Linked DNA regions of Rhinolophus ferrumequinum. The protein of the gene in region 2 interacts with the protein of the main gene of each other region in a pairwise test. Links are inferred from orthologs where the notes say so. Each region holds a gene or a part of one and is shown on either strand. Other genes may lie near its edges.

Region 1 (7,262 bases), on a different chromosome or scaffold from region 2:
ACATGATTCTTTTAAGTGTATTAACTAATGGAATCCTTAACACTCTTGTTAGGCAGGTGATGATCCCCATTTTACAGATGAAGGAACTGAATCACCAGTGTTTAAGGAACTTGCCCAGGTTTTCACAGCTAATAAGCGGCAGAGCCAGGATTCAAACTCAGGCTCGAGTCTGTTTTATGCGTATTACCTCTCATACTGACAATCAAGAAATAGCAAAGCCCCCAAGGAAAAAGAAGCTGAAAGAGATTAGAAATGTTATGAAAAGCAGACAAACGTGTAGTCACTGACTTAGGTGGAGAATACTGACTGCTGCAGATGGCAAACCACTGCAGAACCCCCTCCAAAATTCAACTGTTGGAGACACACACGTTTCCTCTTATGGTGTGAGCATAAGAAAGGCTGAAAACAGGCGGGAGGCGTCCCCTCACCAGCCAAGCAACTGCAGAGGACCAGAGGTTTATTCTCTGGACAGGATAAACTAGAGACTCCACACTTGGGTAACCAGGGCACCACTGAAGGCAGGGAGCGGCCCCATTCAGGAGGCTTAAGTGAATGTTTGCACACAGAAGCCAGAGGCCCGGGTCTCCTCCCACCATAAGGCTCCTAAAATAACAGCAAGGCTTATTCCATCTAGGCAGACCAGGAGTAGCGTCACCAAAGAACTTGGAAACACAAATTCTCAAGCCCATGCCAGATGTACTGAATAAAAAATTCTGGGGTGAGGCCCAAAAACCGGTGAATAAGGCTGCCAGGTGATTCTAATGCCCCTGAAGTTTGAGAGCCACTGGCCTACAGGGAGGCCCACTAGTCAATAAACCCATCCCACACCAAAAAGCTTCCAACTTTTCAATGCCTCTTTATTTGGAAGACAGTCTGGAATCACCAGAAGTTTCAGGAAAGACGCTATCCTGAAAGAGAGACCGAAACAGATTTCACAGAGCAGCACTAGAGAATGGGAGGGAAATGTGGGAGAGCCTGGTTGGCTTGGTCTTTCCCTGGCCCCCACCATCATACTGCCACTAAGCTCGGTCTCAGGTGCTACATAATAGTTAGAGAACCAATGAAGCAGATACTCTCTACGGTCCTGTGCAGCTAGCCTGTGCCTTTATACTGGTCTTTATGTCCCAGATCCTTGAAACTATTACAGCAACTTAGAATGACACTCGGTTGGAAATCGAATAATTTACTTGTCCCCTTGTATGAACAAAAAGCATTTCAATGGAAAAATCATACAAGCATTTTTATGCTAAAGGTTGGCTATATTCTGTATTTGCATTAAATGCAGAGGCAAAATTCATTGCTTTAATTTATGTAGAGGTATCTGTGGCCATCCCCCTCTATCACGCCTTTCTTTGCTTCTCTGTATCTTACAAGCTTTCCTTGGCTCACCCTTTCAGGCTAAATCCTTTTTTTTCATTATTATTAAATTTATTGAGGTGACAATGGTTAGCACAGGCTAAATCTTAATCCAAAAATTCTCCCCTATTACTGTTTTTCACCAGTCTCTACTCACGCCAGTGATCATTCTGCTGCTTACAAATCTCTACTAGCCTCTACATCTTGTACCACATAATCACGGTGGACAAAAATCTCTCATTTACATCTAGTTCCTCTGCCTCCTTTAGTCCAGCTCATTTTCTCAAATCCCTTGGTTCTCTGCTAAAGATCCTTCCCCCTCTCAGGCCACTCCACTCCTCTCCTGGAAAACTTCAGGAGGGGTTTAGAGTGATGAAAACTTATGCCAGGCATTATGCACAGAATACCACTAATGTTCTCGTTTCATCCTCACACTAACACTGAGAATTAGGAATCATCCCTATTTTCACATTTGGAAAACTGATGCTTAGAGAAAGAAATTAAGTAACCTGCCCAATTTTAATCCAAACCCTTCAATCTCTAAAGCCACACCCTTAGTCATTCTATTCTACGGCCTGCAGAGGTCTGACTCCAATATGTGGAAGAAAAAAAGCTTCCTTAATCCTGCAGAAAATAAAAGCAAAAAGAGCTCCGTCGGAGTATTGTTTTGGTTTGAAACGAGGTCCTCCGCAGATGCTGACAGCCTTCCAGCCAAAGCACAACAGGGAACACGGCTTGCAGCAGCAGCATCTCCCCGCCTGGAGGGCTCCACATGGCTCAGCAGCCGGGCCAAGGAGCAGCCCAGCATGCTCTCCAGCAGATGGATGCAAAACACAGGCGGAAGGATGGCCCCTGCGCCCAGAATGCCAGTAGGGAACAGGTGGTTAAGAGACCCCGCTCCCCACGCAGCCCAGCAGTCCGTTTGCCGACCTTTGTGGTGGTGGCAGTGGTGTGCCTCCCAGTGTGGGGTCGAGCAGCTGCCCACTTCAAAGGATTTCCAGATCCGATTTTGAAAGCTCTTAAGAGACCAGGTAGTAATCTAATAATCAAGAGCAAGCAGTGACTCCTAAGGAAAAGCCTACAACACAGCTAACTTCGAAGGGCACAAAGACATGTCTATGGTGACAAGAGAAGGTGCTTCAGTGCCCATCAGAATGTGGAGACAGCCACCGCCCCTTCCTCGGTGGAAGGGCTGCAAGTGCATTTTCTCTTGTCGGTGTGACAGAAAGGGGAGGCGGGGACTCCAGCGTCTCCCACTCCGAGGGCCTCAGCGGCGCCCCTCTCAGCCTTTCCTTGTAAGGGCTGAGCGGCTGTGCCTGTCCGTCTCCCACGCCGCACCTCTCTCCTCCACTCGGTCTCCTCCAACCTCCTTTCCCCAGCCCTCAGCCCGCTAGACCGCTCTTCCCCTGTCGGCCCCGCCCCTCTTTCCTCCGCTCCGGGTTCCTTTCCCCTCAGCCCCGCGCCGTCCAGCCCTTGGTACCTTGAGCGTCACGTCGCACAGCTTGCCCTGCCGCCGGATCTCCTCCATGACGCCGTAGCCGCGACTAGGCAACTCGGACACGGAGAAGTGCACCAGGTCTTCCAGCTCCTCGGCGCCGTCCTCCACCATCTTCCCCCGCCGCCTCGACTGCGCAGGCCTGGCCGGCCGGCTCCAAACTCAACAGGGCGGGGCGCGGGAGCACGCCGACGGCAGCTCGGGCGCCGGGCTGGGATCAGAGGGGCCTGCGCGGCCGCCGTAGTCAAAGACAGCTCTGCGCCGGAAGTCCTGCTGCCCCGCTTCCTGGTTCATGTGCAGCCTTCGTTCCCTCGCCATCCCGATCCTAGTCTCCTGTTTGCAGCTGCCGCAGTCTTCCTAAAATCATCCGCCCCATCTCCCGTCTTACCGATTCTGCCCTGGCCTTACTCGTATCTCAACAGAGGACCTCAGACTTCATTTCCGCCACCACCCCGATACTTCCGGAACCTCCGGAAGCAACCCGTTGCCATGGCGGCTGTGTATACAGCCCCACAGCCGAGCATACCGGTTTTCGGTCGCGGCAGTTGCAGCGGTCGCGCTGCGAAAGGGCTGCTGCCTCCTAAGAGGTGAGCAGGGGACATGCGCCGGGGTGGGGAGAAGGGAGATTGGAGAGAGGGTGTATGCCACGGCGGCGGGCAGCGGCTGGGATCGGAACACCGCTCCACGCGGAGTTCACTGGGTTGGCTCGCTGATCAGTGAAACCTGGGCGGATGAGGACGCGGCGTCGCGGGGTCCGTTGCAGCTTGGCTGAGGCTTAGATTCTTCAGATCTAACGTTCTCTGGCCCCACAGGGTCCTACATAGTTCAGAGGGCGCGAGGCGGGGGGCCAGAGGTCTTCTGGGTTCTTCTGCACTTGTAGGTTTTCGAACTGGAGGGGCTCCCGGAACGCCAGTCTGAGTCCTTCGAGTTACAGGTTAGGAAACCGCTCCAGAGAGGGATAGGAATGGTCTCAAGGCCCACTGCCTCCCAGATTCCACCTCGGGGTCCGGCATGTTGGGTGAGGAAACGGAGAAAGGCCAGTTAGTCCTGCCTGGATCCGAGTCTTTTGTTTAACCCAAGAATGGGTGCGTTTGGGACCGATTCTTTTGTTTGTTTCATTTTGGTTCAGATGCTTCTGCCGCTCTGATGTCTATGAGGGTTTCCCATGAGAGCCCCTCATCTGGGCAGAAGCGCTGGAAGATAGGGACTCTCCTGGTGCCTACCGACCCAGGAGATGCTCCCTATCCTTTTATCAAGCTTTCAGATGCTTGGTGGCAATTCTGTTCGTTCTCACCTCTAAAACAAATGAGCAAACCGCGATCCTCTCAGCAGGGATGTTTCTTGGTGACCACTCAGAGGTTTATTTATTTACACCAGAAATATGGAAGGAGAGTGCCAGGAAGAGAGGGGCATTCATTCCCCACAAGGTCCTGAGGGAGAAGGATCCTACTAAAAGGGAGGGCGTGGTGAGAGACTGAATATGTTTTTCTGCAAGTAGTGCCTGGAAACCAAGTGTCCTTCTAGAAGGGCTGTGGACTCAGGTATTGGCGGTGGTGTGGAAGGGGAGTGACATTATATGCCCCTTGGGACTTTCTCAGTAGTGCCCGAAGATGGAGCAACATGGAGATTCAGCCACCCTCTGACTTCCAACCATGACCATCACCACCACCACCATTTCTTGAGCACCTGCTCTGTGCTGGGCACTGCTCTGGACATTGAGTGGGGACTCAAAAGAGATGAAAGGCACAGCCCTATCTCCCAAGCAGTTTGTAATTTAATTCGGGAGCTGAAACCCACTCAAATGATGCGACGTAAGAATAGTAACAAGCATTTCAGTAAGTGCAAGATGGCATGGGGTCCCCAAATGTCTGGGTGTTGAGGGGCTGCTGAGTAGCAGTCTCAAGGGGAGGGGGGGATGTAGTTAGTAGAGAAGGTTTGCCTCTGTTGGGTATGGCTTCTGGCATGCTTGGTGCCATGGGTGTGTGCATGGGGAGGGCTTGGGAATCACAGATAGGATGACTGCATGCAAGTACATGTTGGCAAATTGTGGGGTAGAGAAGAGCTAGTCTCAGAGGGGAGGGTGGTGCTTGGAGCTGGCCTGTGCTGCCCTTGTGCTGTCAGTGAGTGGGGGCTGCTGGGAGAGCACCTGCCCCCAGAGCTGCTCTACTTCTTCATGGTACCCTTCAGAGGGCATCCTGGGCAGGAGGACGTGCCCTTGGACGTGTGTAGGGAATGGTTCCAGAGCTTTAGAAAATGAGGGTGTTTCCTTGAGTTAGAACACACTTCCCTCCACTCTCAACTTCCCAGTAGTCTAGATCAAAGTGAACTTTACATGAGATTTTCTTTTCAATTTCCTCAATTTAGGATTCATAGTAGAGTTATTTGTAGCTTTTTGTTCTTGGAGCTCAATTTTTCCGACAAAAATTTCAGGACTGCAATTGGACAAGCCATTATCCTTGTTCACCTGAGTACCCTTCAGATTCATTTTCTAAAAATTAGGAGGTCTGAATGATCCCACAGTGGAAAAGACTTCCATGAAATCATGACTTGAGGAATGTAGGAAGTGGACACACACTCTACAATAGGCAAATATGAACGTAACATGTTTGCTTATTTGATTTGACATATGAAGGGCTTGTAACTGGGGTTAGAGTTCAGTGTCCACATTGAAACTAAATGGAAAGGGCAGGCCCTGTCACTGTTTATCTTGCCTCTAGAGATACTCAGTGCTACTTGATGATAGTTAATACAATTGTAAGAGGAAATCAAGTTGTGTCTAGAAACGTGGAGGAACATTAATATTTTAAAAGCATGGAATCATTTTTATCAGGTAATACTCATTGAACCTCTCTTAGATAATGCATGTAAAATGTTAACGTTCTTTATGTAATGTACTTTTTTAAAAAGTGCAATAATTAACTTCATTAAAAAGAAGAAATCCCTGCTATGCCTTACTTTTCTTTACAGTAAAGGTCTTGAAAATTAGCTTTTTAACAACATTAAACATCATATCAGTTTGTTAGAGTGCTTTGCAATAGCCCAGGCAAGCTATTTATCCTTAATAACTGTGTTGATATTGCTTTTTTCTAATTTGAAGATGAAATGGAGCCAGCTCCCTCCCTATGCCTCATGTTTCCCTAACTCTTCATAAATTCATTAAATTCCTTTGTTGGTTGTCTTTTTCAAAAGTATGCAGTTTTCTTTAGCCTCAACTCCTCTCTGCTGCACATAAATGAAGAAATACAAATATACAGAAAGAAAATGAAGAGAATATAGTTAGGCTTTAGGAGAGGAAGAAGAAGTAGGGGATGACCGGTGATTTTGCTCTCAATGGAGTGCCAGAGAAGAAAGAATATTTGATTATGGGCTAGATTAAATATATATCCAGCGAATCTTTTTTCTGATCTAAGTTATCGATGGAGGTGCTGCACTTGAAGTAAGGTATATTAATGAAGAAAAGAATTAGCTTTAAGACCTTTCATAGTAAATATTTGCAAGGAAAATCTAATGAATGAGGCAAAGCATTAGTGGACTCGGATACAGGACCTGTCTAGAAACTACATCTAAGATTAGGCCACTACAGGGAGCGTTCTTTGCTTTGTTTTTCGGTCCTGTAGGGGGTCATTGGTGGACAATGGCAAGGCAACCTGTAAAGTAGGAAGTACACATACTTATTGGGCAGTGTCCCACGGGTAGAGCACTGAAATGCTAAGGGGTGAAAAAGAAGACTGGCATCCAGTGGGATAGGAAGCTTTGGACTGCACATCACTCGTTTCCGATCTTCTTAATGAATGACGCCTCCCCTCTATTGTCATTTGATGATAATGACTACTGAAAATTTCGCTATTTTCTTCTTTTTAGCTAGAATGGGTACTAGGAAAAAAGTTCATGCGTTTGTCCGTGTCAGACCCACCGATGACTTTGCTCATGAAATGATCAGATACGGAGATGACAACAAAGTAAGTGCAATGTGTTTGCCTTCACCTGCCTGGGTCTCTCTCTGTCCCTCCTCCAAACAACCTCAAAGGACCAAGACAGAATTGGTAAAAGTTTAGATGGACTCTAGAGTCCATAAAGACCAAGCCATACCCTCACAATGCCACTGATGAAAAAACTCCTATTTTTAATTGTCTTTTTGGTTAGTGAGTTTACCTTTATCCTTGTTATGTGACACAGAAAAACTGACATTTGTCCATACTCATAAAACTTTCCGGTGATCAGATCTGCTGTTACATAATCTCCCGGAGGGTACAGTGGGTATGTCTCCAGTGGATAACTGTTAAACTTACCAAGCAGTGAGGGGAACTCTTTGTCAAGAGAACTGGAAAGATTTATCCATCCCCATGTTCTCACTGCTGTCCTGAGAACCTTTCTGAAGCCTGTGACGGGCTTAGGGTAGCTTGAGAGTGTT
Region 2 (7,633 bases):
TCTTTCATGACAATGACATTTTTATAGAATACAGACTGCTTATTTTATGGCTTTAAAAAGGTATTTCTAATTGAAAAAAAAATATTGTGAGGATTAAATGAGTTAACATGTGTAAAGCCCTTAGAATAGGGCCTGGCACATAATAAGTAGTAGGTCATGGGTATGTCTTGGGGACGAGACTGTTCCCAGTTAGGGGGCAGCAGGAGAGGCATTCACTCAGTTCTTTTCCATCCACAGCCAGCCCCAAAGGCTCCAGAGTCCCCATCCTTGGACTCAGCCCTTGCATCCCCACTGGACCCTCAAGCCTGCACCCCAGCCTCCCCTCCAGACTCTCACCCTCCAGATTCTCCTCAAGACTCAGAAGCCCTGGACTTTGAAATCCCTTCCTCCTCCCAGGCGCCCCACACTCCGGACTCAGCTTTGGCCTCTGAGACCCTTGCTTCTCCCCAGTCCCTGCCTCCAGCCTCACCACTGCAGGAGGACCGGGGAGAGGGGGACCTGGGGAAGGCTCTGGAGCTAGCAGAGGCTCTGAAGGGGGAGAAAACAGAGCAGGGAGCCATGCTGGAGTTGGTAGGATCCATCCTTCGTGGCTGTGTCCCTGGAGTGTACCGAGTCCAAACTGTGCCCTCTGCCCGATGCCCTGTGGTCAAGTTCTGCCATCGGCCTTCAGGTCTCCACGGTGACATCTCCCTCAGTAACCGGTACCGTTGTTTAGGGGGGTGGTTGGGGAAGGCAAGCTGAGCGTTCTGGGGTGGCTGAGGAGGGAGCCCTGGTGGGGGAGCTCCTGCACATGCCACGCCTCAAGCTTATCCTTGTTTGGACCCATCCCTCTTTCTGCCACTCATCTCCTGCCTGTCTTCCATGTCAATGGAAAGTATCTTTTTTAGGATACTGTTTTTAAGGGATTTAGAAAAGAGTTCCATGGTTAAGTAAGTTTGGGAAATACTAAGTTAAACACAAATAGGTTTCTTCCTTCTCTCCTTCTGCCCCACTTCCTCTTTCTCATTTCCTTTTTTCCTCTCTTTCTCCTTTTCTCCCCTTCTCCCTCCCTTCTTGTCTTTGTTTCTTTGCATAGTAAAGGCCTGAGCAGGCTTTTATTAACAATAACACGCTCTGAATGTCCGAGACGGGCATATAGGATGTCGTGTTCTTTGTACAGCCTCTCACAAGACCACTGTGTCAGCAAACACTTAGGAAACCCTCTCTGGCCGCCGTTACAGTCTGGACTGGGAGCTGGGGGTGATCGGTTCAGAGCGTTCCTGAGCCGTAACGTCCTCGTCTCCTCTTTGTCCCAGGCTGGCCCTGCATAACTCCCGCTTCCTGAGTCTCTGCTCTGAGCTGGATGAGCGAGTACGGCCCCTCGTGTACACCCTCCGCTGCTGGGCTCAGGGTCGAGGGCTAGCAGGTGAGAGGCAGGAGAGAGCTGGGGCTGAGTTGGTGTCGGGCAAAGAAGGGAGGCAAATACAGGAACCAGGATTGAGAAAAACTGCCAAGGAAGGGATCGGAAGCACCTCTAATCTAACTGGAATTATTGATTATTTACCCAGGGAGTGGCCCCCTTCTCAATAACTACGCCCTGACCTTGCTCGTGATCTATTTCCTTCAGACCAGGGACCCTCCTGTGTTGCCCACTGTGTCCCAACTCACCCAGAAAGCAGGTACAGCAGCCGGCCTCCACCCTCTCTATCTCATTAGTTTCATCTCTTCTCTTCTTCGTCTTACTCACACTGAGTTACCCTGGGAATGAGATCTCCGCTATCTCCCTCATTTCCATCCCTCACCCTCCTTTCCCTCAATCTTCCTGCTTCCAGGCTGACCCTCACCTTTTTCACTTTCACAGGTGAGGGTGAACAGGTGGAGGTTGATGGCTGGGACTGCAGTTTCCCCAGGGATGCCTCGAGACTGGAGCCCAGCACCAATCAGGAGCCCCTGAGTGAGTTTGGGGAGCCCACAGAGGACTAATAAATAATGTTGATCACAACAGGAGGTAACACAGTTATTGTGTACCAGGCATGGTTCTCATAGTAGCCTTGGGGGACAGCTAGTGTTGTTATTGCCATTTCACATGTGAAGAAACCATGCCTTAGAGTAATTAAGTGGCTTACCCAAGGTTACACTGCTAGCAAAGGGAAGGAGTAGCGTCTGGGAAATGACATTGCTGGGGACACAGGAAGAGAGCGTGGCCTCATGTTTATGGGGATCAGAGGAGCCTGGCTTCTGGCACTGTTCTGAGCCACTTAGAAGGGAAAACGAAAGTCCTGCTAAGGGAATGGCTCTGGTTCAGGGTCTGTCTCAGTTCTGGCCTCTCAGTAACCCCTTTTCCTGGTCTTCTCCTCCAGGTTCCCTACTAGCCCAGTTCTTCTCCTGCGTCTCTTGTTGGGATCTTCGTGGCTCACTGCTCTCCCTGCGGGAGGGTCGGGCACTGCCTGTGGCAGGGGGCCTGCCCTCTAATCTCTGGGAGGGTCTGCGCCTCGGCCCCATGAATCTCCAGGACCCCTTTGACCTGAGTCACAATGTGGCAGCCAATGTAACCAGCCGGGTAGCCGGGCGGTTACAGAACTGCTGCCGAGTAGCAGCCAATTACTGCAGAAGCCTCCAGTACCAGCACCGTTCCTCCCGGGGTCGGGACTGGGGGCTGCTCCCCCTTCTGCAGCCGAGCTCCCCTAGTTCTCTGCTGTCTGCAACACCCATCCCCTTACCCCCTGTTCCCTTTACCCAGCTCACTGCTGGCCTGGTCCAGGTGTTCAGAGAAGCATTGGGTTGCCATATAGAACAGGGAACCAAGAGACTGCGGTCAGAGGGAGGTAGAAATGGAGATTCTCCCCAGGGAGGGTCAAGCAAAAGACTGAAACTAGACAGACAGAAAACAAGCTGTGAGGAGAGGCAGGAGGAGCAGCAGGGATGTATGGGGGAGCATGGCGAAGATGGGGTGGAAGAAATGGTTATAGAGAGTGGAGAGTCAGTGGAGGACTGGGCCATGCAGAGCCCTGGGCAGCCAGGGGAGCCTTCCCTGATGGCTGGAAAGCACCTTGCCACTGGAGGACAGGAGCAGTCAGGCCATGCAGCGCTGGCTGAGCAGGGCCCCAAAGGACCAGACGCAGCCCGAGAAGGGTCCCAGGGTGAGACAGGGAAGGGGGCATCACTCTCCTCCGTGAGCTGGCGCTGTGCCTTGTGGCACCGAGTGTGGCAGGGGCGGCGGCGTGCCCGGAGACGCCTGCAGCAGCAAACCAAGGAAGGAGGCAGAGGTGGTGCTGGCACGGGAGTAGAGTGGCTGGCGACTGAGGCTCGGGTAACCCAGGAACTGAGAGGACCGAGCAGTGCTGAACAGAGGCCAGAGACTGAGCCGCTCCTGACCTTTGTGGCGTCTGCTTCCCAGGCTGACCAGACTCTCACTGTGACCCCACTTCAGGATTCCCAAGGCCTGTTTCCTGATCTCCATCATTTCTTACAGGTTTTCCTTCCTCAAGCACTTCGAAATCTTCTAGAGTCAAGACAGGGGCCCTAAAGGGCAATTAAGCTGCTAGTTTAATAAACACTACAGTTTCCTCTAATTTCCACCTGGTAACAATGCTCCTTCCGCCTCGTACTTCCCCTCCCCAGACCTTAATGCAGCCTTCTCAGAGGTGTCGTCTCTGGCCACTCCAAAACAGGTCTCAGCCTGTTTCCTTCTTACCATTTATCACAACTTGCGGGGAGTGCCCAGGACGGTGTGTCTGGCACCTGGAGCCCACTTGGGAGAGTTCGGGAGTGATGGAGTGCTGAGTAGAGGTATTGAACAGTACCTGTGAGAAGAACCAAGTTTGCCTCTTCCTTTACCTTGCTGCCGAGATTTATGAATGGTGACAGGGCCTGAAATTTGAGTTCAGGGTTCTTCACGCATTCCGTCACTTAACAGAATTCATCCCCTTCTAAAACTGGGTAAAAGATTTTCAAAGCTGAACATGGGTAAATGGCAACCTGTATCAGTTTGTCTTAAATTGTCAATCCCTCCAGAGTGACAGGAGGTGGAAGGGATATGGCTGTTGTCCCTTAGCCTCCCCCCTGTTGCAGGCCCACAGACTAGTGCCCTTCTGGAAATAACAGCATCCTGGAGATGCAAGGTGGTTTAATGGGAGAAAAACTAAATTTATTATAACAGAGGGTTTCAGACTTAGGCTCCGATTAGACATTCATCTTATCTAGAAAACCAGAGCAGGTCAAAAGGAATTTGGCACACCGCCATCTCCACACCGTGGCGTGTCGCACAGTCACGATGTTCGGGGCTTCGCAGGACCTCCCATCAAGCCTCTCATCTTGGGCCTCACTTATACTGCGGGCCGGAGGGGGATGCCTGCGGCACCCAGCGCGGCGCAGGGATGGCAGCTGTGCCACGTAGCTGCCTAGGGGAAGCGGTCCAGCTAGTTCTCTCAGTTTCTCCGCGCCTCTCTACACGTTGGGACTCGGATTGGCCATACCTGAGGGGCGGGCCAGTCACGTGAGCCACTGCGCAGGCGCGAGCGTTTTCCGCGCCAGTCCGCAGGCCCCACCCCCTTTCCAATTCAGCTGCCGTGGTACCCCGAACTGTCGTGCGTATGCCTTCTGTGCCGTCCTCGCTTTCCGGCTGCTATTTCTCCACGGCGCTCTCCCGCCCCCCTCCCTTCTTTCCCTCACGGCTTACTTTGCGGCAGCACTGAGAGCCCCACCCCCTTTCTCTGCGGAATCACCATGGCGGCTGGGGTAAGTTTGCCGGCTCAGGCCATACAGGTCACTATATCCGACGCCATCCTCTCCCCGAGTGGGACCAGCCGGCGTCAGAGGAGTTCTGGAGCCGAGTGGGGAACTGATTCGGGGTCTAGAGATCTTACTGTTGGAGAGCAGGGCTTCCAGGCCCCGGAGGGGAACTGAGGCTGGGACTGTCGGAGGCCAAAGAGGTGGAAGGGTCTGGGTTATAGGAGAAAAGAGATGTCGGATCCTGGCCGTCTGGGGCCAGAGAAAGGGGTTCAGGTTCATTGCCACCTTGAGACATGGGATCCGGGCAGGTTGACAGAACTTTTGCGACCGTTTTGTGGGGCAACAGCAGAGACGGTGAAGAGGAGGGTCTTTGTGGGCAGGTACGGCTGGCCACGGTCTAAGGGCCGTCCATCAGGGAGGTTTGGGAGGGAGAGGTCTCTCGGGACTGTAGAGTCAGACCAGTTGGACCCCGCCGGCCAGGTAGGCAACACCAGGGAACTCACTGCCGGACAGGACCGGAGGAATGAAATGCGTGACAAGGGAAGAAAGGTTTTTTAGGGAGAGAAGATGCCATTCGTCCCTGTGTCCCTGTGTCTCTTCGGAGGGGAACTTGGAAATGTCTTGGTGCGTGTGTGTGTGTCTTAGAGACAAGGACGATGCTTGTGAAGCGGTGAGCCGCTCAGCAATAGACAGGCACTGGGTAACCATCAATGAATGAAACAAGGGCTCTGGAAAGGCAGGGGTGTATGTCGCAGCTGGAGTCTGAGGGAGCTGGAAGTTCTGGATTTCTTGGAGATATTATTTGAGGGGAAGAGAATGCTTCTACAGATGTCCTTAGGGAAGGTCAAATCTGTCAACAAGCTTTATTTAGCAGTTGGTGTGTAGTTCTGTTCTCCGTGTTTTGGAGGACTCTGATTACACATGGCAGATTCTGAAGAACTTGGTTCACCAGCCGGAGTGAAAGAGTGAGTTGAAGAGATTGGGATTGTTCAGGAAAGTCATCCCAGAGGTGACATGTAGGACTTGGGACCCTTCTACTCACACTGACATTCCCCCCCCTTTCTTGCACAGACGCTGTACACATACCCTGAAAACTGGAGGGCCTTCAAAGCCCTCATTGCCGCTCAGTACAGCGGGGCTCAGGTCCGCGTGCTCTCCGCACCACCCCACTTCCACTTTGGTCAAACCAACCGCACCCCTGAATTTCTCCGTAAATTTCCAGCTGGCAAGGTGAGTAGGGGAGTGGGAGGAGGGGTCTTTGGTCCTGAGAACCCAAGTGGCTATAAGATTCTATCACTTTGAGATGGCCTCCATCTTTAAAAGGGAACTTTCCATTTTTTTCCACATTATAGTGATTTAAAAAAAAAAATTTTTTTTTGAGGTAATTGCAGATTCCCATTAGTGAAGATACTAAAGAGATATTCAATGACATTTTAAAAAAATTACAGGCATACTTTGTATTTGTGGGAGAGAGAATGAGTTTTGACTGATTTCAGTGCAAATATGTCAAGTATCAACTATGAACAGAATCCTTGCCCCGCGGGTCTTACGGAAATAACCAGGCTGAGAGTAGAAGCTCAAGTGCAGTGTGGGGAGCACCATAATATTTTGAGTATTATAGATGTAGATATAAGACTTGGCTTCTGACCTTTTGCTTGTTTGATGGAAGGCTTTTATCCAAATATCCAATAATATCTAAATCTTTTGGGTTTATTATGTGACTTCAGATTGTAAGGGATACCAAGTTAATTCAAATATTTTTGGTTCCTGAGTTTCAGATAGTATCAGGAGTTTCGTTAGAAAGGATCATCAGCCTTATATAAAAACGTTTTTATCCAAAACAGTTCACTTCCTGGGATTGGCTAGTGAGAAATTCCTGTGAGTTTCATTGATCTTTTGACTGCTTTGTCCCCAGGTTCCAGCATTTGAAGGCGACGATGGATTCTGTGTGTTTGAGAGCAATGCCATTGCCTACTACGGTAATTTGCAGTAGATAGGGCATGGAGGTTCTGGAAGTGAGGGGTGAACGAGAGGATGAGGATGAACTGGAATGGACAAGGGGAGGGCTTTTTAGGGATTGGATTGTTGTTAGCACGATCCCCAGGCTCTGACCTTTGTGTTCTGCCTCTGCAGTGAGCAATGAAGAGCTTCGGGGACGTACTCCAGAGGCAGCAGCGCAGGTGGTACAGTGGGTGAGCTTTGCTGATAGCGACATAGTGCCCCCAGCCAGTACCTGGGTGTTCCCCACCTTGGGCATCATGCACCACAACAAGCAGGTAAGCCTTGGAACTTGGGGAGAAACCAGGAGTGGGGATGATATCAGCTGCAGAGTGTCAGGGAGTAAGGAATAAAATAGGTTGAGAAAAGGAGATGCCAAGAATATGTGGGAAATAAAGGACCTAATCTTTGGGGTATGAGTTTGGAGAACTGGGCTGTTGATGGTGTCTGAGTCTTTGTCGGACCCCGTGGGGCTGGTATCTGTCAATGGTGGTCAGAGGAGAGACCTCTGCTGTAGGAAGGTTATGCCAAATGGTAGGGGAGTGGTTAGACCAGATGACCTCTAAGGTTCCTTTTAAAATACAAAGACACATGGCTACGATCATTACAGTGGAGAATGAGGGAGCACTGCACCAAGAAGAAGTTATTATGTGACTTCATTTGTGGGAGCTTCATTTGTGATACGTTTGGAAGAATCCTAGAATCTGACTCCTTTGAAAGGGTTAAATGAAATGGCTACCTGAGTTCTGTTCTTGGGGTGAGGGAAAGGGTTTGGTCCTCACTGATACAGTTGGTCATTTTAAATCAATAGGCCACAGAGAATGCGAAGGAGGAGGTGAGGCGAATTCTGGGGCTGCTGGACGCTCACTTGAAGACGAGGACTTTTCTGGTGGGCGAACGTGTGACGCTGGCTGATATCACAGTT

Evidence for each region.
Region 1: the proteins of EEF1G (region 2) and KLHL18 interact in binary tests that used the Homo sapiens proteins (3 or more experiments, as listed by UniProt). The two-hybrid records come from large-scale screens. The link is inferred for Rhinolophus ferrumequinum from reciprocal best matches to the Homo sapiens genes EEF1G and KLHL18.

What each region holds. Positions count from the first base shown.
Region 1 is NC_046300.1:8,394,042-8,401,303, forward strand, and holds the start of KLHL18 (kelch-like protein 18), read right to left. Parts: upstream 3,002-7,262; 5' UTR 2,966-3,001; coding exon 2,837-2,965; intron 1-2,836. Other genes in the region: kinesin-like protein KIF9, read left to right, coding at 3,341-3,438, 6,717-6,810. UniProt on the Homo sapiens protein: Substrate-specific adapter of a BCR (BTB-CUL3-RBX1) E3 ubiquitin-protein ligase complex required for mitotic progression and cytokinesis.
Region 2 is NC_046294.1:8,197,367-8,204,999, forward strand, and holds the start of EEF1G (elongation factor 1-gamma), read left to right. Parts: upstream 1-4,561; 5' UTR 4,562-4,704; coding exon 4,705-4,716; intron 4,717-5,781; coding exon 5,782-5,940; intron 5,941-6,625; coding exon 6,626-6,689; intron 6,690-6,843; coding exon 6,844-6,986; intron 6,987-7,519; coding exon 7,520-7,633. Other genes in the region: TUT1 (speckle targeted PIP5K1A-regulated poly(A) polymerase), read left to right, coding at 238-701, 1,296-1,405, 1,548-1,658, 1,841-1,933, 2,340-3,505. UniProt on the Homo sapiens protein: Probably plays a role in anchoring the complex to other cellular components.